3 linked regions of the Arabidopsis thaliana genome follow. The protein of the gene in region 2 interacts with the protein of the main gene of each other region in a pairwise test. Each region holds a gene or a part of one and is shown on either strand. Other genes may lie near its edges.

Region 1 (9,134 bases), on a different chromosome or scaffold from region 2:
GATTAGAGGACTGAAGATTTTGCTTTATACATATACTAATGTAATATTATAACAACTACGACATTAAAAAATCAAATCAAACCAGTTTTATGCAAGATTGTACATTTTATGTCCAATGTCTAACACTATTAATTTAGAACAGTAGTTCTTTTTCGGTCTCTATTTCTGAAAACTAACAATAGATTTTAATTGATATAGCTACTCAGTAATTTTTTTGATCTCAGATCTCTTAAAACAAAAATTAAATTTACTTCGTTTGACAAGACCTTCAGATCTTTCAGGCACATGAATCACATTAATATATGTGCAATATCATAATGTTATCAATATCGAACCAACCTTAACTATAATTCATGCATTTTAGGTTAAGATCTAAAGTTTTTTCCATAACTCTTTTTATCTATGAAACATAATGTGCGAAGGTCAAAAGCGGTTTAAGGCAAAAATTTAAATTGTTGCCTTGAATACATATTTTTCTTTTAAAGACAAGAGTTTTTTTTACCATTTTTCAAATATTCTCATTGAAAATGAGATTTTGTGAGTTAATATCATGAAAATCAAAAATAATTTTCATAAATGTTAATGTTATGATTTTTTTTTTAAAAAAAATATCCTTAAACACTAATTTTAAGTAAATACTAGCCTTAATTTTTATAAAGATGTAGCCTATTAATATTATATTGTTGATCTAAGAGATTAGACATTCTACTTATTTTAGTAGCTATAATATGATTTCGACATAAGCTTCACGCTTTACTTACAAAATGTTTAGATTCATAGCGAGTAAAACGTCGTAGAATCAAAGCTCAAAGCCAAATCTTAGTCCTCCTCACGAGCAACATTTTTGCTATGATGTTGAGCTTACTCCGGATCTTTCGTTTCTTGGCTTTTGATCTTACAATACAATAAGATTTAGATCAACAAACCCACACACAGACCATAAAAATCAACAATCAATCATATATTGCTCTACAGTCGTGGGATGGCGACGAAATCTGTGTTACCATCTCCGTTCGGCTCGCATTGTCCAGACTCGTCGGAAGTCCTATTCCGAAGAATATTCGCAGATCTGTTGGCCGGCGGCTTTTTTGGATTTTCCGATTGAAGATTAGGGCTTCATAGTAGATCGGTTTAGTCAGTTTATTAGCTCGGGTCGATTTTGATTTAAGAGCTTGGTTCGGTTTGGTATAGTTGATTGGGCTCTTTTCAAATTTTGTATGGATCTAAATTCGAAAATAATCCATTAAACCATTGTTTATAATATTAAATAACCAATAACAAAAAAAAAAAAAGTTCTCGCCTTCTCGGTTTAATCTTCATTCCTTTTTTTTAATACTCTTTTTTTTTAATTTGTTGAGAAATTGGAGATTAAAAATAAAGCCCAAAATAAAATAAAAAACCCCGGCCCATTAACAGTTAGTATTAAACAGCTTTTGCAACAGACGGCGGTAAACGATAAGATGGTGTTTTTTATGTCGTATCCGCCGACACGGCGGCAGTTAGTAGTGTCGGTGGGTTTTTTCGCGGCGGGCGTTTCTCTCTTCGTCGCCGGAGCGTATCTCTCACTCGCCAACATCTCACCGCAACAAGCTCGCGTCAAAGCTCGTAATGATTTCGTCAAGGATCGAATCAGGAAATGGCTCGACGATTAGTGTCTTTTTTTCGATCTTGTAGGCGTTCTAACTCTTAAATGATATAAATCAAAAGACGATTTCGTGTAAATTCATGCTCTTACATGTTTGGATCATTACCAGTTCAAATTCATGTTTTATGTCACTTACAGATGAGAGAATCACTCTTGACAAAACGAGCGAACAGAGAAAAAATGTAGATGTAAAGTCTTTAGATTCTGTTATCTCTGCGCTGAAAATGTGAATAAAATTTCTTGATCATATTACCATCTTGATTTTCTGGCATTCTGGTTCTCGCCTTTCGAAGCATCCGATAACCGCGACTTTGAAACAGATCCACCGCGGAAGTTACTTAGTCTCGAACCCGAGAGGATATGGTGATCTTTTGAAGAAGCCTTGTTTGGTTTATAAGCTTGTGTTTCATCTATATACCCTTTAGGCTCAACGTCAATAGATCTTCCCCAATCCAACCCTCCATCTCCACTTTTTTGAAGCTTCTCGCTCTGTACAACCCAATCAACACAATCCGATATGCTTCTTTGTAAAGAAAGGCTTTTCCTTGGCGTTGATTTTCTTCCTCTGTTCTCTTCACCATAAGGCCATTTATAGCTCTTGTTGTCTATGTTCAGTTCTATGGAATGAAGGTCGCTTTCGCCTGAACCTTCTTCATTTCCATTCTCGACTTCTCCATCTTCGATGTTATATGATCCAAAACTGATGTGATGGTTTAAATAATCTCCAGCCTCTTCGTTATGTAGCTGAGTTTGAGGTGGTTCACGGGTCTTCTCTTTACATCTTTTTGCTTTGAGGTAAGTTTGAAGCTGGTTTCTTAGCTTATCAACAGCTGCGTTTTTCTCCTCGAGCTGGTGTTTAGCCTCCGATAGTTTCATCTGTACTCTCTCTTCCCGCAATGCATCTGCTAACTGCAACATCTCTCTTTCCTTTTCGACTTCTTCTTTGACTTTAAAAGATTCTCTCTTCAGTTCTTCAACTTCGGCTTTGTCTTCGCTTATGTCTCTTGCTAGTTCATCACAAACTTTCTCAACCATCACTCTCGCTCGCTTCTCGTTCTCGATTTCTTTAACTGCTTTCATCAGAGCTGATTTTGTTTCAGCCAATTCTTTGCCCAATTTCTTGTTCAAGCTCTCAAACCGTCTCCTCAGCTTCCTCTCCACTTCTAGCTCACCAGCAACAGATTCGATTGCAGCCTCAACAACTTCTTGCTCGTTGCTTTTCCACACAGCTTTCTCTTCGGCAAAACGCTTCATCAAGTAGCTAATGTCGTTGTTTTCCGGTTTATGTTCGTGGATTAACTGATTGACCTGTAAGCGAGCTCTTTCGAGCTCAGAATGTAAAGCAGAGACGAGGGACATGCTAGAAGATGGGCGGTCGTCTTGACCCCACATTCTGTTAATGATTTTGAGAAGCTCTTTTGATGTTGTGAGAGCGTTACTACAATCCTTCAACCGTGTTTTGACACCCACAGTTGACCCAGTCGGTGTCTCCACCCGTGATCGAGTCTCAATCTGCATTGGAAAAACACATTTCAAATATTTTTGAACATCACTCTCTTGCACACATATTGATTTATAGATGATGGAGGCAAATTAACTAATCATAACGGATTGAGTGTCTCCTAGTTTCTTATACCGTTATTTGCAATGTTTCTGTGCATAACAAAACAAACCATAGATTATGTGTACGTATGCTTCCAAAGTAAAAAAACCAACAGCCTCTGGAGCCAATAATGCTCAATAATATACTACTTTCATCCTTAATCAAATACCAAATTTGGTTTGAGAAAATTATGAAAACTGCTAGAAGAAAGGGTTCCTCATAATGCTCAAAGAAACATCCCCAAGAGTGAAAAAAAAATAAAAAAATCAACTTACATCCATGAAGCTGCCACTGTTAATAGGATCCCTAGCCCCCACATTGCAGTCTCCAAGCCTAAGCTTTTGCACAGTTGATGAAGCTCTTCTCTGGCGACTCCCAGTCCCTGATCTTTCCATCCTCTACAAAAATCAACAAGTTTCTCAGCTATCCAATTACCTAACACACAGAAGTAAAGAAAGCAGAATTCTTCGCATTGTCCATTGCCAGATTTAGCATTATATATAATTTTTCTTAGGTCTCCATTATAAGAGAATCTAGGCCTACATTATTCACAATAAATCAACCTCTAAAAAACAACCAGCTACCTCCATATGACCAACGAATGAGAAAGAATAAAAACTAGTAGAAGTGCCCAATTATGCAAGAATAATAGGCACCAACTTATAAAGAAACGCCCTTTCATATAAACATAAATGTGCGTTATAGAGCACATGACAAAAGATTCTTAAGATCAAAACAGTTTTCTATTCTTCTCTAATCCCACTCCTTAACATCAACCAGAAGCTTATACGAATAATAATCTCCCTTGATGATTAAAATACTCATAGAGGTTGCCAAAAAAATCACAACTTTGACTAAATTCAGACCTTAGAATCACACAAAGATTATCAATTTTATCAGTTAAAGATGAGATCTTTATAACTTCCCCGAATCAATCAATACTATACTATATATATTATTGTTTTTCTCTCTCTCTTTTGATCGGTCAGAATTAAAGCACATGGCAGCCAGCAAGAAGTTGGAATTACAGCACATTCTCTTCCTCTCAACCAATCATAACCAAAGCATTTTACCTCAGAGACTGGACTATGCGACGGATCAGAAAGATGAGGCGGTAGAGAACCAGAATGAACCGATGATCTCGGCGGAGGAAGCGGCGCGATTCTCTCCTTTCTACTCTTTCTAATCATTGGCGCAGCCTCCTCCACAACTCTAGGTGAAGGCATCTCGTTCATCTCCCAAAGCGTCGCAGCTAACTTCCTAGCTGAAACAGGAGCAGGAGCTGATACTTTACCGGTTTTGCTCCCGCAGTGAGACGACGGAGAAGCAGCAGCGTGTAAAGCACCGGAAGCTCGTGGAGAAGGAGATCGACCCATAAGTCTCCATGTAGGTACAGGAGTAGTGGATCCTCCTCTTTTACCAACAACTATCGCTCTTTTGAATCTATAACCTTCACGGAGAATCGAAGAAGTCGACGATGTCGGCGAAGAACAACCACGTTTCCTGATTTTGCCAAGTAGAAGTAGATTCTCTACGCTTTGATTCTGCCTCGGCATATTCAAAACAATTGTAGATCTTTCTCTTTACCTGGAAAAACAAAAAGCAGATTCAGAAAATTTCACCGATCTGTTAGAAAAAAGCACAAAGACCAAAATTGAAGTTTTTAGAGTGAGTAAGAACACTTACAGAAACTTCAAAGCATTTCTATGGCTTCTTCTTCTACTTCAGAAGATAAAGTTGGAATGGGAATTGGGGGAATTTGGAAAGAAATGGCGGTTGCTGTGTTTTGAGGTTTTTTGATCAGACTAGTGTACAGAGTGTTATGTTAAAGTGAAAAGGGGAAAGATGACAGGAGTACTCATCTTCTGTGATAAGGAACACTGTAACATGTCCACGTGGTTTGATCTGTATGGATTATGGATGTTGCTCCGTGATTTACAGGGTGGATGATTTGTAAACCGACTTAAACCGAAATAATTGAATCGAAAACCGGAAATCACTTCCTTTTTATCGGTCCTGAAATAAGAGATTCTCAATTAGAAAAACAAACTAATCAACAAATTTCTTTAGTGAAGAACAAACTTATATAAATAGTATTTAGCAGTAAACATTATTTATATTTGGTTAGTATATGGTAAGAATTCGAATGAAATAGATCCTAAGTTCAATTTCACATGTTAAACCAAAAATTATGTAGATGTCATGAATTTATATCCATATTTCACAAAGTTTGACGGCTCATTGAGAACAATTATTTTCGATTAGAAGAAAGTCCATCTGCCTAAATAAAGGGAACTAGTGCATCTAATTTTATATTTGACCAAAAATATTATGCTCGTCTATGATATACTATGGGTTAATTTGGAGATTGGATCGTGTTTGTACTATATAGGGTTTCTTAAATGACGTGTTTGAGTAGGATGCATTAGATTTTAATCATTTGATACACAATTACATGAATCGATAAAAGACCAAATAATCTAAGGTTGTTCTTTTTACCAAACCAAGATTTTTAGGTTATAAGAAAATAGTTCCTTTAGTAGATTCCTAATGTGGACCAAAATATCTTGTTAATCTCATGCTTATGACTCCTAAATCATATGATCATGTTCCTATATGAGGTATATAATATACCATTTTTCTCCATTAGACGAGTGTGAGTGAGAACCGGTGTGCTTAAGTTACTCATTACAAAATGTGTCTACTACTATTCCAAGTATATAGATATTCATTTCAATAGGTTTTGAAGTTTTATCTATACCCACAATTTCACAAATCACAACCCGTTATAATTATAAATGAATATTGATATTACAGATTTACACTCGTGTAATTGAAAAATGGATGACCGAAGTATTCATGTGAAACCATGAATATTAAAATGCATGTATTATTTTTTTTATAGCAGGATGATCAGATATGATTTCCTAGTTTTCAAGATATTGCATCCATAAAATTCACAAGTTAATTATTTGATCAAACTAAACAATTGAAACTGTAAACGTTACAAAGAAAGATAACACGGCCACACTTTTTTCCGTTGTCAAATGGACACGTCCAAGTGGAGGAGATGATTCAACATACACAATCGTACCGTATTATTGTTCAACTCTTTATTGTTGTAAACGTTTTTTGTTTGGGTCAAGTCTCTTTATTGTTGTAAACACGATTCTTTCTATAGTACTTTCTGTCACATAAGTTTTTTTTTTTTTTTATGGTGAATCCGGAAACAAAATCTGTTCGAAAAGACAATTCAACCTAGAAATAGTTGGATCTACATCATATCAAAATATATAGGTAGCAATCAATATAAAACATTAAATATATGAACAATGTAAGACTATAGTGTTAGATACAATTGCGTACAAAAAGTTCAAAATATATATGAGTCAGGCCCAACTAAGATATGAATGCCCAATAAAGAACTAAGAAATTGGTTGCCAGAACTGTATTCCTATGGGAGTCTTCTTACTTCTGACTTCTAATTTCTAACAACAATTTAGTTTTTTTTTTCTCTTTTTTTTTTTTTTTTCTTTTGGCTGTCAAAGATCTAAGTTGTAATAGTTTTGTCATTTGATGAACTTTTCAATTGTAATAGCTGACTCAAAAATTTACCCAATCACCATCAGTATACCTTATGGTATGAATGCATGAATCTATGGTCTACCAACCATCAATCTTTCACTTGCTCCATTACCCAACTATCAACATCTACTATGATATATGACAGAAATGGAAAACGAATATAAATTCGTTCAATAAAATAAAAAATATATATGTAGTAGATAAAGTTGTGGTTGAACCTATGAATGAATATTGGATAGATGTGCAGACAAATGTGTGGAGTGTGGACCTTTGCCGACTATTGCATGTTTTCATCTTTTGTACCGGAAGGAAAAAATAACTTACCATTTTCTATTACCTTTATAGCTAGATATACAAATTTATAGAAAAATAAGTAGTATTAAAAAAGAAAAGAGAGAGAAAAAAAAAAGAAGAAGAAAATCCAAAGCGTGAGGGTAGCTTTCGGATAAACACAGAAGATTGTCTCCATTTTCTTTGGAAATTTTGGGATCATGGGCGTTTTGTAGGACCCATTACTCTCTCAGCCCTGCTTCTGCCACTCTGTGGGCCCAATTTAAAAGCCCACTCTTGTTTCTTTTCTAAACCACGTGAAAACAAACCACAATATGTTATATTCAATCAAACAAAAACTCTATTATCTCTCAAAGTATCTGTCATATGTTTTTCTAGAAAATTTGATTATAATTTTTCTTTTAATCTGCATTCATTTGTCCACTAATGATGTGTTCCAACAAACATGTTCGCTCTCATTGACGAAGAGCTAAGTCAACAAGTCAACTTGTTGAGAGTTATGAGATGTCTAATCCTAATTATACACATCATTAGAGGGATACATATATATAGGCTTTCATTATTTTTATTTTTCTATTATTATTTATCCCCATAATGTAAGTTCTTTATTAAAACACATCTTTCATTCGTAAAGAAAATAAAGTTAAAAAAAAAAATTAGAAAATACAATAATTTTTTGTTTTCTATAAAAATTATAAGCGAAGGCATCGAATCATATATATTTTTTTTTTAATTAGTCGTATATGATTTCTCTTATGTTTTTATTTACAGTATTTCACACCGTGTATTTATATTGTCATCTTGATTGGTAATGTTGAAGACTACAATTGATCATTTTCATAGGCGTTCGTAAACTACTGATTTAACATTATATTGTAATAAAAGAAGCAAAAGGTGGTTAACTTTGAAATGGGGACTCTCAAATAATCGAAATTTTGATGCAATGTAGAGAGCTCAGAGAGTAGATAGAGAGAGGCGTGCAATTGTGTGTTGTTCTCATTGTCCCACCATCTCTATCTTCTTTTGTTTTTCAACTCTCCCAAACCGCCAAACTTAGCCGTACCTTTTATTTTTGTCTTCTCCATTTTATAACCTTCTTTATTTTAATTTTCTATTAGAAGTAAAAGTTTTAAATGTTTTATCTTCTATAGTGAACAGTGTGTTAAACTTATCATCCGTTATGATTTTTGTAATATACGATCAAAAATAATATTGACTTTTTTAAGTTTATTAAATAACTCTATTTTTTTTTGACAGCTATTAAATAACTCTAATATTCAAATAGAAACCAATAACTTAATGTGAATAAATTAATGAATTATTATATTAGGGGTTGTATATAATGTTTCATAATTGCTTATCTTTCAGTTTACTCTAGTTGTGATATTTTCCATTTCAGTTTACTCTATTGGTGTGTTTTTTCTACGGAATTTTGGTGTTTGTTACTTATTACTCTTGTTTTTTTCTTTCTATACTTTGAGATTTAATATTTTCGGTCTAAGTCTAAGATATCGGCTGCATAAATTTATATCTGAACAGTGCAGATATTTTTATTTTTTAAACCTCTTAACACAAAAAAAGATAAAGATGTAAAAGAAATATGTGTGGTCCACTCCCTCCGAGCATTTAGCTTTGGTTTCATAGAATATACAACAAATAGCTTTGGTCCCCTACTTAGGAGAAACAAATTTAAAATTATATGCAAACTAATTAAATCTCACACGTACATATATAAATATCTGATTGTTACTATTTTACTTTAGGATTGTTCAAAATCTGGATAGTTACTTTAAAGGTTAAACCACTTTTCTTACAATTTTTTTTAAATAAGCAGAGACTGATGACGTGGTTAATGTTACAACGTCTCCCATATAAATATAAATTTTCCTTGCTTGCAGCAACTTTTTAGCTACACATTAATCATAACGCGAGGTCAAACACACATTTAGTCGTTTACCATCATCATAAGTGAAAATATGTCGCAGTTGTAAAAAACAAGACGTTTACTAT
Region 2 (7,324 bases):
AGCTTATTGGTTGGTGAACAACTGTTGAAGTTACATGTTGCTTGTGCCGATTATGATTTATCTCTATAATTGAGCTATTTATCTCAATTCCTAGCACTTGGTTTCCCATTACTAGAACCTTGGCTTGTTTTGTGTATTCTCAGGTAAATGGGTAAGTAGCAGACAGATCAGATGCAACTGGGCGACAAAAGGTGCTACTTTTGGCGAGGACAAACATAGCTCTGATGGAAAAAGTGTTGTAGAACTTACTAACGGATCTTCAGGTTTTCTTTTGTTTACTGTGCAACTTCTAAAATTTTTATTTTCTTCCTCAAAGCAGATTTTCATGGAGATTACATTGATATAATACTTGATTTTGCAGAGGATGGTAGAGAGCTGTCAAATGAAGATGCCCCTGAAAACAATCCTCAATTTACAACTGTCTATGTAGGAAATCTCTCTCCAGAAGTAAGTTGTCAACTTAACGAATTGTTCTTTATAAACACTGCAACAGCTCCTGGGGTTTTTCTTTTTGGCGCCTCGTGACAGTTGTCAATCTTGCAGGTAACTCAGCTTGATCTACACCGTCTATTCTATACCCTTGGTGCTGGAGTGATCGAAGAGGTCCGTGTCCAGCGAGACAAAGGGTTTGGTTTTGTGAGATATAACACTCATGACGAGGCTGCTCTTGCTATTCAGATGGGCAACGCTCAGCCTTTCCTCTTTAGCAGACAGATAAGGGTATTTGCTTCAGTTAATGTTACATAGATCTATCTGTTGTTGCATCTACGTAGACAACCAAAGTCTGCTTGTAATTGGTTTTTACCAGTATTCCCCTAAACCCATTTCCTTGTTTCTGTGATTTATTGCAGTGTTCCTGGGGAAACAAACCAACTCCATCAGGCACAGCCTCAAACCCACTTCCCCCACCAGCCCCGGCATCAGTCCCTTCTCTGTCTGCAATGGACCTCTTAGCCTACGAGAGGCAACTGGCTCTAGCCAAGATGCATCCTCAGGCTCAACATTCTCTGAGGCAAGCAGGTCTTGGAGTCAATGTTGCTGGAGGAACTGCAGCTATGTATGATGGTGGCTATCAGAATGTAGCTGCGGCCCATCAGCAGCTCATGTACTATCAGTAATAAACCCTCTTCACTGGCTCTGAGATACCTTTTTCTGTTTCTTTCTTTTTCTTCTTCTTAATTTTATAACTTTCTTGCTTTTTCTAGACCTTCCTTGTTCAAGAGTCTTTATGTATGTGTCTCTTTCATTTAAAGCCGTTGGTTTTATTTATGTATGCAGAGCTTTATGCTCAGTTTGTAACCTATAGGTCTTACTTGGATTGTAAGCCAAGCAATAAGACAACATCAAATAAAAGGGGATTTGGTTTTCTGGGGTTAATGTTGTTTGTGGTTCTGTAATGATAGGTTTGAAACAAAGTAATTTGTCTTTTATAAAAGTTTTATAGTTTCATTTCTCATGTTAGTACTTTATTTTGTCGGAAATCCAGTTTAACTAAGCATCAAGTGTTCTGTCCACGAGTGTCCTTTGCCATGCAGCAAAGTATATAATTAAGGTTTTTTTATTTGCCTTTGTCGTTCATAGGATGTAGTAGAGAATCTTGATATAGGCTTCAACATTTAAACGATTAGAGGAAATTGGCAGGGTTCAAATAATATTTTCAAGACCCTGTAATAGGGTACATTGATTCAAGAGACATTACATTTAATACTGACCTTATCAGTAAATATTTACATAATTACATGCATAGGTTATTTATATTTACACAAAAACCCCGTAAGATTTTTCTCTCTCGGCTTGTTCAACGGTCCAACGCGTTTATCACAATCCTGCATACGTACACAAAGCATATCATAAGTACACACATAAAGAGTTTGCCCACAACAACAAAAAAGAGAATTGATTAGGAAATGAAGTGATAGAGATGATAACCATTCATAAGTAGTTAGACTTGCTGCATCGTCTTCGCCAGAGGAAGGGATTTTGCCGGCAGTGAATGGTCCCAAAGCATAGCATGGTGTCCCAGCTGCATAAAAATGTGTTTGACCCAAATGTGAGTCTTAATTTTGTTATTGTTAATTTAGTTTAAAGGGAAGATGAGAAATATATACGGGTTAAAGGTGTCCCAGGGTTGCTGCTTGAACAGGTTGGAGAATCCGGATCCATTTTCAATTTACGGAGACCACGAACATTGTTATTCCCCTTGGTAACCATGATGCTTCTGGTGACTTGGTCGCTTGAGAGAGAAGGAGGAGAAGATCGGACGGTGGATAATGAATCGTGCTTTCTCAATTTCCCGAGACCATTGTCCGGCGTCGGTCCGGCCACCGTTTCATCCCACAGCTTGTGTAGGAACCCCATCCGATCAACAAAAATTTATCCAAAAATATATAACAATATTTTTTCAAATTATTTCGGGTTTTTATTTTACTGTCTCTATCTTCTTTTTTTTTCCTTTGCAATGGAAATGGTTTTATAGAGGTAGTAGAGAGGTAAGGATGAAAGAGAAGAGAGAAGCATTGAATATTTTTAGTGAGGTTAATTATAAGCTTTGGCTTAATTAAGGAGATTTTAATTTAAGGATAAATATGCTGACTAATCCAATCATTAGTCTCTAATCTCATTGGTGAATATTCTATAAGCTGTGTCTTAACTTAGAATCACAAACTACTAGTTCAGAACTCTACTTAAGAATCACAGAGGTTTTCAACAAGCTATTCAAGTTCAAAGCTTTTTAATTTGCCCATGTTTAAGACAAGAAGATGGATAACAATAACAACAACATGATGATAATCAGAGTCATAACTTCTCTACATTTACACATCCCACAAGGCAGTAACAATAACAACAACAACAACATCAAAACCTAAAATCCAGCTTATCATAGCAAATATCATAGGAACATTTGTGTGTTCAATTGTCAGCTACTTACATTGCCGTTATTCTTGCCATTGCGATCATCATCATCATCAACGATCCTCCTTTCTCCTCGCTGCCTGCTCCTCTCTTCCTCTTCTTGATTGTTCTGTGTTATCTCCAATTGAGTTTTCAAGAACTGCATTCTCTGCAACTCCATCTCTTTAGCAAATTTCATCCTCTCCTTTTCCAGTTCCGCCATTAACTTAAGCTTAGCAGTTTCCGCCTTCTCATAAGCTTCCGTAAATCCAAGTATCGCCCTCGCCACATCTCCAACTCCACTCCCTCCACCTCCACTCTTATCCACCTTCAACCGCTTTGGCATATGAAACGAAAGCGGTTGAATCGGTTGCAAAGGTGGGAGACTCTCAGCAGATTCCTCAGGAGAAGCCTCAGGTTCAGGATCAGACTCAGACTCAGTCTCAGAAGCACTACGTTTCCTAAAATGCCACCGCATCGAATCAGAGCCTCTCTTCTCTTGTTGTTGCTGCACAATCTGATTACCTTTAGTTTGCCGTTTAAACATACTCGAACGGCTATTCCCAAGAGCTCCTCCCATAGGAGCCTTCTCTGAAGCTTTTGAAGAAGCAATGAATGTTGTAGTACCACCAATCAAACTCTCAAGCTTCTTGAAGAAAACCCATTTACTAGGTCCATCACCAGAAGCAATCTTAGCTTTCTCTTGCTTATACTTCTTCTTCACCGTATCAATTCTGTTCTTACACTGAATATCAGTTTTAGGGTATTTGCATTGACGACTCTTGTTCACAATCTCAGCTACTTCTTTCCAATGTTGTTGCTTCAAAGTTCCTTTACCTGGTTCAGAGAATCGATCTCCCCAAGCTTCGATTAGAACCTTTGTAGCTTCTTCGCTCCAACAATCATCTCTTCCTCCTCCACCACCACCGCTTCCTCCTCCTCCTCCTCGTCCGTTTCTGTTTCCGCTACCACCACCACCGGTTACAGAAGGAGTATGAACCACTAACGCTAAAGCGTTCATGGACGGAGATTGAGAAGAAAGCCCCGGTTGTGGTTTCTTCACGACGGCCACCGTCACGTCGTTTGTTGGCAAAATCGGCGGAGAAGGAGGAGCTTGTGGTGAAAGGGAAGAATCTCCCGGAGATGGAATTGACTGAATCTCGTCGTCGTCCTCCATGAAAAATCGATCGATTCGGAGAAGGTAAGACGATCTGAGGATTTTGCAAAATTTTGGATCTGAGATTCGCTCACCGGCGAGGGGATAAGGTCACCGGATAGGTAATCTCCGTTATTGACCCGATGGATATGTTAAATGACGAAAACACCCTTCACTCTTTCCTTTAATAACAAAAGAACAATATTAGAAATTTAGAACCGTGACAGTATTCGAATGGTTTTATGGTAAATACTCAAATATCGCTATAAGGTATTTATGCTTTGGCCATTTTTTCGTTAGGAATATTGAATATACACACTGACGGATTTCAAAATTTCTCTAATATACAAAAGTATTTTTATTTTCTTGTCTATAGTATGGTTAGGTAGGTTGTCTCAAGTCTCAAAAACTCTAACTAAAATAAAACGAGATAAATCAAGTCTAATGGGCTAAGGCCTGGAATAACTTTCAAGGCCCAATAAAAACAGATATAAGAAATAAAAATACAAAATAGAACAAAGACATAAATCAAGTCCAATGTGCTAAACGGCCTATAAATAACTTATAAGGCCCAATAAAAGGAGATTTAATGACGTGGAAGCTTTTGAAACAACTCTCAAGTTCACTAGTTACTTCTAGAAATTTTCTCTGGAACTTTCTAGCTCACTGGTGTTTACTCACTATATATCAATGGAGTGAAAATTTCAAACCCCATACTATCAAATCGAAGAAGAGGAAGATCCAATTGGAAAGGGTTATCCTAATTCCCAGGTAATGATCCTATTCTCTGTATCGATCTTTTCCTGGAAAATTTCAGAATTGTTGATTTTTTTAACTGTTTTGTTTTCTGGCAGTCATTGATCGGAGAAGATGAGTGCTGTTGCGATTAACCACTTTTTTGGCTTACCGGAGGCGATCGAGAAGCTAATTCTCCCGATTTCTCGTTCCGGCGAAAGTAATAACGAGAGTCGTGGAAGAGGAAGTAGCAATAATATCCCAATAGACATTTTGGAATCTCCCAAAGAATACATATTTTATCTCGATATCCCCGGAATTTCAAAATCAGATATCCAGGTATTGATATAATCCCATAGAAATGTTGAATTGTTTATGAAATTAGGGTTTTTTTTTTAATTTAATTTATGATTTGGGGGTTTTGGTGGGAAATTAGGTTACAGTGGAGGAAGAGAGGACTTTAGTGATAAAGAGTAATGGGAAGAGGAAGAGAGATGATGATGAGAGTGAAGAAGGGTCTAAGTATATTAGACTCGAGAGGAGACTTGCTCAGAATTTGGTTAAGAAGTTCCGGTTACCAGAAGATGCTGATATGGCTTCTGTAACGGCTAAATATCAAGAAGGTGTTTTGACAGTTGTTATCAAGAAGCTACCGCCACAGCCGCCGAAACCTAAGACTGTTCAAATCGCTGTTTCTTGAGTAGTTTCTGTGTTTTGTTTTTGTGTGTGTTTGTTTTCTAGTTTGTAATTTTTCTGTGTTTGGATAAAAAGACTCTGTTTCTTTTATGTGTTCTCTTGTCGAAATTTTGAAATTGAAGAAATAAATAGGTTTAGCCTCCAAAACCAAAAACAAATAAAAACGTTGTCGACATTACCACCATAAGATACTCCTAAGGCACTGGGCTCTACAAAATTTTTGTGGATTCTACAAGATTAATGTTATAGGAAAAATTCTAAAAAAAATTCAAACTATTTTTTATTTAGAAGTTTAATACCCAAATGTTTTTAGTCAGAAAAAATACATATACAAATTAAAACATACAAGAATTAATATCTAAAATTTTATATGTTGTTATTTTTATACATGATTTTATGAATAATTAAAAATTTCAATTTTATCTTTAACTTTTTAATTAATTATTTATTTTAATTTAAAAAAATTATTTTGGTTCTCTTTTAACCGGATTAAACCAAATCAAAACTGGTTATTACCACCACCAAATTTTGTTCTTGTCATGTTAACCCGATGAGCTTTCCCAATCCAACAACCAACACGCCAATTGTCAATCTGGGCTTTATAAACTTTCTAGAGCTTCCCTCTTCACCAACACCATGTTAACCGACTCTTACCTTTGCAAATTCTTCTCTACGAACAAGAAGCTGGTTAACACATCGACGAACAAAACTCGGTGGTGGTGATAACCAGTTTTGATTTCGGTTTAATTCGGTAAAAAGAGAACCAAAATATTTTTTAAAAATAAAATAAATAATTAATTAAAGAGATAAGAGTAAAGTTGGAAAATTTTGATTTATTATAAACTCGTGTATATAAAAATAACAACACATAAATTTTTGGGTATTAATTCACATCTTTTAGTTAATATATAAAATTTTCTTCAAACTAAAAATATTTGGGTATTAAATTTCCAAATAAAAAATAGTTGATTTTTTTTTTTGAATTTTCATGTTATATGATTACTTTACAAACTTTCTACGATGGTTAATTATTATATTCGTTTTTTAGTCTTCTTCTGTTTAGATGAAATTCGGTTTTTGGTTTTCTTGGGTATGGATTGAAGCCATGATATTTATGAAGAAAAATGAAATAGTGAGGAATTAACGTGAAAATGAGCAAGATATATGTGTAGTACAGTGGCATGAGTTGTTCCAGAACCGTAATGATATTAAGTATTAATTTATAGAGGTCTCACTCTATTAGTATATAAATAACTTTCATATATGATTACATGTTTAATTAAATGGGTAGAAACCAGATAATATATTTTGTTTTTGAGTTTGAATAAAAAGTTTGCGAATGCGTTGTTGCTCTCTGTTGTCGAGATTCTGATGAATACATAAAATAACCATCAACAATTTTTTTTTGTATTATTGTTTTTTAAGCAAAATATTGTAAAATGCTTCTGATATATTAGAAGGACCACGTAATTAATATTCACATTATTACATTTAATATAGTATCTACTCTGTACCATACATTTTTAGTTGTCTAGCGATTGATTTCCTTCACCAGGACCACTTACACCTTTAGCTAAAGTCACAGCTGATAATTGATTTCATCAGGGCCTGCACAACTTCAAGTCCGCAACAACCGCGTGGCCAATAGTTGGGATACATCTTGTTTCCGATATGATCATATATGCATAATGTTTGCACAAAAAAAAAATCAAGATATATTTTTATAGCAAATTTCTTTTTTTTTTTCTTTTTTTTTTCAGCAAAAGCTCAAATTCCTAATTGTTTGATCAAACTTAGTGTTCCTTCTGTTTTTAGAAACATAATGTTTTGGATTTTACACAAATT
Region 3 (6,958 bases), on a different chromosome or scaffold from region 2:
AGTGAAGACATTGTTTCACACCCTTCCTCTAGCAATAGCATATCTTTTGTACATGGTAACCATTTTACTGAATTATTTTGGCATTTTTTTTACTGCTGTTTGGATTTCGTAGATAGTAACTGATCACAAATTTGTTCGATGTGTATCTCTTGAAAGCTAGCCTCTATGGCATCTGTTAGAGGGGTAAATGTTCCCATGTATACCACGCTTAGGCGTACTACTGTGGCATTTACTATGGTGATTGAGTACATGCTCACAGGTCAGAGATATACACGGTCTATCATTGGAAGGTAAATCACTTTTTTTTTCTTTCTTCCATACTGTAGTTTCTGTTCGTGCAAAATTGATATCTTTTCACTGTTGAATTTGATAATTTCCTGAAGTATTCAGATTCTGGGTTTAATAGTATCTCTTAGGAAGAAATAACTCCTTATGTTTGATCAAAATAGACAAGAATTAGGATTTAGGAGTTTGCGAGAGATAATTGTAGCTCTACGTTTATTCTGTATGTTACATGCCCCAGAGGCTTATGTGGTATGGTGCTTTAAGTCCCTCCATGAAAAAGTATGCACATGTTATTACCTCTAAAAGGAGAATCATGCTCCTTGACTCTTACATGCACAACTAAACTCTTGTAAAATTGATGTCAGTGTTGGTATTATCTTGCTTGGCGCATTTTTTGCTGGAGCTAGGGACTTGTCATTTGACTTTTATGGATATGGTGTTGTTTTCTTAGCCAACATATCAACAGCAGTATATCTAGCAACCATTGCCCGTACTGGTACACTAGTTACTCGCTCTCTGAATAAATTGTTTTACTACATGTCCTCCTGCCAGAGTGAAATCTCTCTTACCCAATTCTAATGTCTGGTTCTCCAGGTAAATCAAGTGGCTTGAATAGCTTTGGCCTTATGTGGTCCAATGGTAATATAAACTAAACAGATAACTAAATTGACCCTAAACACTCAAGACTTGCTTTGAATTTGTGAGATTTTCAATGATAGGAATTATATGCGGACCTATATTGATGATTTGGACATTTATTTGCGGTGACTTGGAGAAGACAATTAACTTTCCTCACCTCTTAACTCCTGGTTTCATGGTACCGTAAATCATTATTTGCCTTATATCTGTCCACTTTGCGTTTGTGATACTGATGATCTCTTTTTCTGTTATGTTCTCACCCAGGTTGTATTACTCTGCTCGTGCGTGCTGGCTTTCGTCTTAAACTACTGCATTTTCCTTAACACCACTCTCAATTCAGCTTTGACGCAGACAATTTGTGGCAATATGAAGGTTGGTTTCACTTTATTAGTATCTCCTGTACAAAAGAAAAATGTGAAACTAATCTGCCAAGGAGAGACTTTGAACATTATATCATCGTTGCAGGATCTATTCACGGTTGGACTAGGCTGGATGCTCTTTGGAGGACTCCCATTCGACCTGGTAATTTTCTTCAACATTCCTATTATTCCATTGAACCTAAAATCGGCATCTACGTTTGCTACATCTCACTACCTTTCTTTTTTGGTTCATTTACACAGATGAATGTGATTGGACAGCTTTTTGGTTTCTTCGGGTCAGGTTTATATGCATATTATAAGATCATCGGGAGGTAACAAGTCCAAAACAAAGAAAAGCCAAAGAAAACATGAGTGGCCTAGTGATGATAAAGGCTCATTAGTTTAAGGAAAAGTTGTTGACTAGTAGTGTTCAAGTGGAGATAGAGTGTTGAGCTTTTGGTTTTGGAGGTGACTTTAGAGTAGTATTAATAATGAAAGGCCTAATTTTTTGAACTTGCGTCTTGTTCTTCTTCAGTTTTCAACAAGGCGAAAGATTAGACTATGGACAAAACTGATTTTCTATTTTTTTGAGATCTACTGACTCTAATTTATACAACTGCTTCTTTTCATTGTATATATGTAGTATTATTATACACACTTGAGAAAAGGATGACTGTAATTATACAACTGCTTCTTTTAAAGCGTTCAATGATGATTTGGTACTAGGCATTCTTGCAAAGAGCTCGGTGAAAGCAAAAATAATTACTTCAACGGTTAAAATTGCAAGTACTAGAAAAGAAAAAAAGAGCACACCCAGTGGGACTCGAACCCACAATCGCTTGATTAGAAGTCAAGCGCCTTATCCATTAGGCCATGGGTGCTTGTTGCTACATCCTTCTGAGTTGTTTTATATATCATATAATTGTATTTGTAATCGTGTTCCATACCTTCTTCAAAAGCAAAACATTCTCTCGCCGGTAAAAAAGCAGAGATCCCTTAACCATGATTTCCTTCAAAGTATATTCCCCTTCCTCATCCTCTTCCCATGCTCATGGTATCAATCTTCCACTCTGACCCAACTCAAGCTCTGATTTCTCCTACTCCGTCGCCAAAAATCTTGGAAGTAGATGTCTTAGCCCGGGAAAATCAAATTTTCTCAATAATCAATCTATGGACGTTCCACCACGCCGCTCTTTGGCTGCGTCTCTCTCGCCTCTCCGGCTAATCGATGGACTCCCTCGTCGGAGGAGTTTCAATTATAATCAGATGCCTGAAGAGCCCATCAAACTCACTGTTCTCAAGCTTGATGGATCTTCCTTTGGTACCCATTACTCATCTCCTACTTGCTTTTACCATTAAATTTTATATGTTAACTAAGAATGTTTGCTCAAAAGAACTAAAAGTTATTGCTTTACAACGAATTCTAGTTTTTTCTGTGTTGTTTCGTTTGAGGTTGTCCAGAGAAATTTGACTGGTTTCTGAATTTGTGATTTAGTACAATTCCCTTTAAGCGTAATTTGGATTTGTAGGTATTCAAGTGTTGAAGACAGCGACAGTAGGGGAGCTCAAGATGGCAGTAGAAGCTGCGTTTTCTCACTTGCCCATCTCAGGCCCTGGCAAGATCTCATGGTACCATCTCTGATTCTTTGACTTGAGTTATTCTTATAATGATTCCGATTTTGTGTCTATATTAGGATAAGTAACTGCTAAATGATTCTTGATGATCCTATTTTTACCCTGTGATTATAAAGGCCGCATGTTTGGGGACAATTCTGCTTATCTTATGAAGATAAAAGATTGATTAATGAGTCTGAGTACCTCACTGAATTTGGCATTAAAGACGGCGATCAGGTTACCCTTTTACTCTTTCTTTATCACTTGAATACATCAAAGAGTCTATGCTTATGATATTATTTCATCTTTACATGTGATGTCGTAGAACGATGCATTTGGGTAGCTAGAGTCTCTAACCTGGATTATGTAGATTGTTATAGTCCAGTTTAGTTTTGACAACATAGTGCTTTGTTTTGATGCTCTATAATGTGTTTTATCTGCCATCATTCAGCTTCGGTTCATCCGCCATATCTCAAACTACTGCATGTTAATGGTGAAGCATAAGAGCAAGACACCCCGTGTTTCTTCTTTCAAACAACTCAAACTGTAAGAACTTTTGGTGTTAAAATGTTTTTAGCATTTCATTATCCGGAATCTCCATAGTAATACATGTTTTTGGACCAATCAGGTTCTCAACCACACCGGAAACCCGGAAAAAGAACGTAATAAGGGAAGTTGAAGAAGACGGTGTTGTTGACTCCATCCCTCGGAGCCAACCAAGCTTTCTAGCAACTGTATTGGGAGGTTTGCTCTCTTACAAGTCGACGCCAAGTCAACGAGGTACTAAATACAGAAACGTGACTGCAAGTAGAGTTTTTAACAAACTCATTGCAAGGTTTCGTTTCAAGTGTAATTCCGAGAAGGATGTGTGGAACAGAAAAAAACTCATATCCGAAACCTAAAAAAAAGCACTCCTTTTCTATCATTTGATTCTTGTAGAGATTTTGATTTCCTAATCTTGGTGTTTATATACAAACTTGGATGTTGTGTGTGTGCAAAATGAATAAGGCATTGTGTATTTACGTTTGTAGTGGATATAATTGCAACCTTACCGTCTTAGCCATTTTAACCTTATCTGGTACAGCGTTCGCGTTTGCGTTTGCGTTTGCGTTTGTGTTTGCGTTTGTGGCCAAAACGCAATCATTTACTTTTTAATTGATTTTCCGCTCCATTGATTTTAATCTGACGACCACAGCCTTTAGCTTATTTGTGTGGCGAAGAGAAGAGATAACATTCCTAAGCAAATCTCTTCTCTCTCCCATTCGTCTCCAAAGAGATTACAGTTTTGAGCATTTCTCATCTCTCGAAGCTCTTCTCTGTGTGTGTGGCGATGGCTGCTAATTCGATAATGGCTTCCTCCAAACCCCTAATCTCCCTGTCATCCAACCAACAACCAAACCGAGTCCAAATTCCCAAATTCGCCAAACTTCCCCAAATTCCCAAATCCCTCACTTCCTCCACCGATCTCCGTAGCAAAGCACTATCACTCTCCTCCGCCACCGCCAAATCCTTAGCTTTAATCGCCGCTTTCGCTCCTCCGTCGATGGCGGAGGCGATGGAGAAAGCACAGCTCTTCGATTTCAATCTCACGCTTCCGATCATCGTTGTTGAGTTTCTCTTCTTGATGTTCGCTCTCGACAAGGTCTATTACTCTCCGCTTGGTAACTTCATGGATCAAAGAGACGCTTCCATCAAAGAGAAGCTCGCGAGTGTTAAGGACACTTCGACTGAAGTAAAGGAGCTCGATGAGCAAGCCGCCGCCGTGATGAGAGCAGCTAGGGCTGAGATCGCCGCCGCGCTTAACAAGATGAAGAAGGAGACTCAGGTATAAAAGAAACAACAATGCACTCAGAGTGAAGAAATTGGTAAATGGATTGTGTATTTTTTTTGCAGGTTGAAGTCGAGGAGAAGCTAGCGGAGGGAAGGAAGAAGGTGGAGGAAGAGCTAAAAGAAGCTTTGGCGAGCTTGGAGAGTCAGAAAGAAGAAACCATTAAAGCTTTGGATTCTCAGATTGCTGCTCTTAGTGAAGACATTGTCAAGAAGGTTCTTCCTTCTTAAATTATATTTTTGTTAACTGTGTAATTCTCTGTCTCTCTATCTCAAAACTTATTTACAAGAAATTACTGTAAATCTCTTCTTCTTCTTCTTCTCTGTTTCTTGGATTGTTCGTCGTTCAAAGAAGAACAATTTTTATTTTGTAAGTTTATAAATAATTAGCTCTCTTCTGTCATTTTAGATGATTAAAGTACAAGTATGTATATCGAGGAATTAGTTGTTACGGATAAAATCTTCATGCGAGTCTTATCGTCACTAGATTTATGTCTATTTGAATCGATTGAACAAAAACGCAAATGGCAGGAGTTGCTTGTGTAAAGAGTAGAGAGAAATTGAGTTTTCAGAGCCAAACACTCCAGCTTTGTCCGAAAGTGTTCATAGAAAGTTAAGTTGACTCTTCCATAACGAGCTCAGGTCCAACAACGAAGCCCAAACCTCAGTTACTCTATCTTATTATTGGGCCCTAAAACGAAATGGGCCCTAAAGCTAACGCGGGTCGGTGTTTGATTAAAACAAATGACGGGGCCTCCACGCCTTGTTCCTTCTTCTTCTTCTTCTCACGCTCACGGTTCTCTTTCTCTTCTCTGTCTTTTTCAGCTTCTGAAGTTACTTGTTTCAGTTCCCGATGATCAATTCTTAGTTTTTTTGGCTTGTTTTCTTCGTCTCTCTTTCATCAGGCCTTTGGAGTTTTGTGTTACCATTTTCGCTCGCGTCATTACTGGTGTTAGGGTTTTCTTCAAAAGCTTCTTAATCCGTCGAAATTGCTCTTTTCTCTCCCTCATTGTCGGTTACTTTCTTTGACCCTTCTCTTATGCTTCGTAAGCTGTGATTTTTTTCTCTGGTTTCATTGCAACTCTAGTTCAATTTCAGTTTGATTTCTTCGCTTAAATATTTTGTTCTATGAGATCTGAGAGTTGTCTTTATTGTTGGCTTATTTCAATCAAAACATTGGCTGGTTAACTTTGATTGACTCATGATTGATTCTATCTAGCATTAATTGGTTTTCTTTGTATTTGGTTACTGTTACTTGTTCTTCTACTTCTCCACGATTCTACTTCTCCACGATACTGTCTCTGTCCCTTGTTCGTATCGCTAACTTATTCCCATAGTGGGCACGTCTCTGGTTTCTGACTTTTCTCTTCAATTCCATGTATTGCGTTTTACCATGATGTTTAGTTTCGGAATCATTTCTTGCTTTCTCTATCTGCTTGTAAGAATAGTTAACAAGTGAGAGGAAAGTCCTTTTTGTTGCTTAAATAGTTTGATTTCTGTTGTTGAGTTTATGCGATATCCCAACTGGTGAAACTGTGTTTATTGGTTCAGACAGAGATAAATGGCTTCAAAGATTATTGCTGGCAAGCCGGATGATACCGAGTATGAAATCATTGAAGGTGAGTCTGAGAGCGCTTTAGCAGCGGGGACAAGCCCTTGGATGAATTCATCAACGTTGAAGCTTCGACATCGAATTGGAAGAGGTCCCTTCGGTGATGTTTGGCTGGCTACTCATCATCAGTCAACTGAGGACTATGATGAGCATCATGAAGTGGCCATCAAAATGCTTTATCCCATCAAGGAAGATCAAAGAAGGGTTGTGGTAGATAAGTTTGAAGATCTCTTCTCTAAATGTCAAGGACTAGAGAATGTCTGTCTGCTCAGGGGAGTCTCTAGTATCAATGGAAAGGTAAGTGAAACAAACATGTGTGTTTCTCTAGTTTCACCGTATTTTCAATTTTTGTTTAATAGCTGATTTGTATCGTGTAGATATGTGTCGTCATGAAATTCTACGAGGGCTCTCTTGGTGACAAGATGGCTCGGCTTAAAGGAGGAAAGCTTTCACTGCCAGATGTTTTGAGGTAATTCTTCATTACACAAGTAAGAAGCTCATTGTAGTAGCGTCTTCTTCATTGTAATATAGAATACTAATGTCTTTCTTATTTATGTGAACCTCGTTTTACAGATACGGGGTTGATCTGGCTACAGGGATCCTGGAGTTGCACTCAAAAGGG

Evidence for each region.
Region 1: the proteins of ASIL1 (region 2) and AT3G11590 interact in a two-hybrid assay, tested with the Arabidopsis thaliana proteins (one large-scale study listed by BioGRID).
Region 3: the proteins of ASIL1 (region 2) and PDE334 interact in a two-hybrid assay, tested with the Arabidopsis thaliana proteins (one large-scale study listed by BioGRID).

The regions. Positions count from the first base shown.
Region 1 is NC_003074.8:3,656,298-3,665,431, reverse strand, and holds AT3G11590 (golgin family A protein), read right to left. Parts: upstream 5,135-9,134; 5' UTR 4,935-5,134; intron 4,836-4,934; 5' UTR 4,805-4,835; coding exon 4,322-4,804; intron 4,269-4,321; exon of another isoform or gene 3,647-4,268; coding exon 3,524-3,646; intron 3,158-3,523; coding exon 1,895-3,157; 3' UTR 1,698-1,894; downstream 1-1,697. Other genes in the region: AT3G11591 (bric-a-brac protein), read left to right, coding at 1,461-1,652.
Region 2 is NC_003070.9:20,177,717-20,185,040, reverse strand, and holds ASIL1 (6B-interacting protein 1-like 1), read right to left. Parts: upstream 4,432-7,324; 5' UTR 4,070-4,431; coding exon 2,918-4,069; 3' UTR 2,667-2,917; downstream 1-2,666. Other genes in the region: UBP1A (oligouridylate-binding protein 1A), read left to right, coding at 144-263, 362-447, 544-720, 852-1,118; AT1G54070 (Dormancy/auxin associated family protein), read right to left, coding at 1,799-1,826, 1,930-2,023, 2,109-2,358; AT1G54050 (HSP20-like chaperones superfamily protein), read left to right, coding at 4,919-5,122, 5,220-5,483. UniProt on the Arabidopsis thaliana protein: Transcription repressor that binds specific DNA sequence such as the GT-box-like motif 5'-CGTGATT-3' in the AT2S3 promoter. Negative regulator of seed maturation genes during seed germination and seedling development.
Region 3 is NC_003075.7:15,571,856-15,578,813, reverse strand, and holds PDE334 (ATPase, F0 complex, subunit B/B', bacterial/chloroplast), read left to right. Parts: upstream 1-4,076; 5' UTR 4,077-4,227; coding exon 4,228-4,722; intron 4,723-4,790; coding exon 4,791-4,955; 3' UTR 4,956-5,261; downstream 5,262-6,958. Other genes in the region: AT4G32272 (Nucleotide/sugar transporter family protein), read left to right, coding at 1-55, 157-290, 651-781, 880-924, 1,005-1,102, 1,189-1,296, 1,390-1,446, 1,545-1,619; AT4G32270 (Ubiquitin-like superfamily protein), read left to right, coding at 2,454-2,604, 2,813-2,912, 3,035-3,134, 3,349-3,443, 3,526-3,799; AT4G32250 (Protein kinase superfamily protein), read left to right, coding at 6,286-6,633, 6,714-6,805, 6,910-6,958.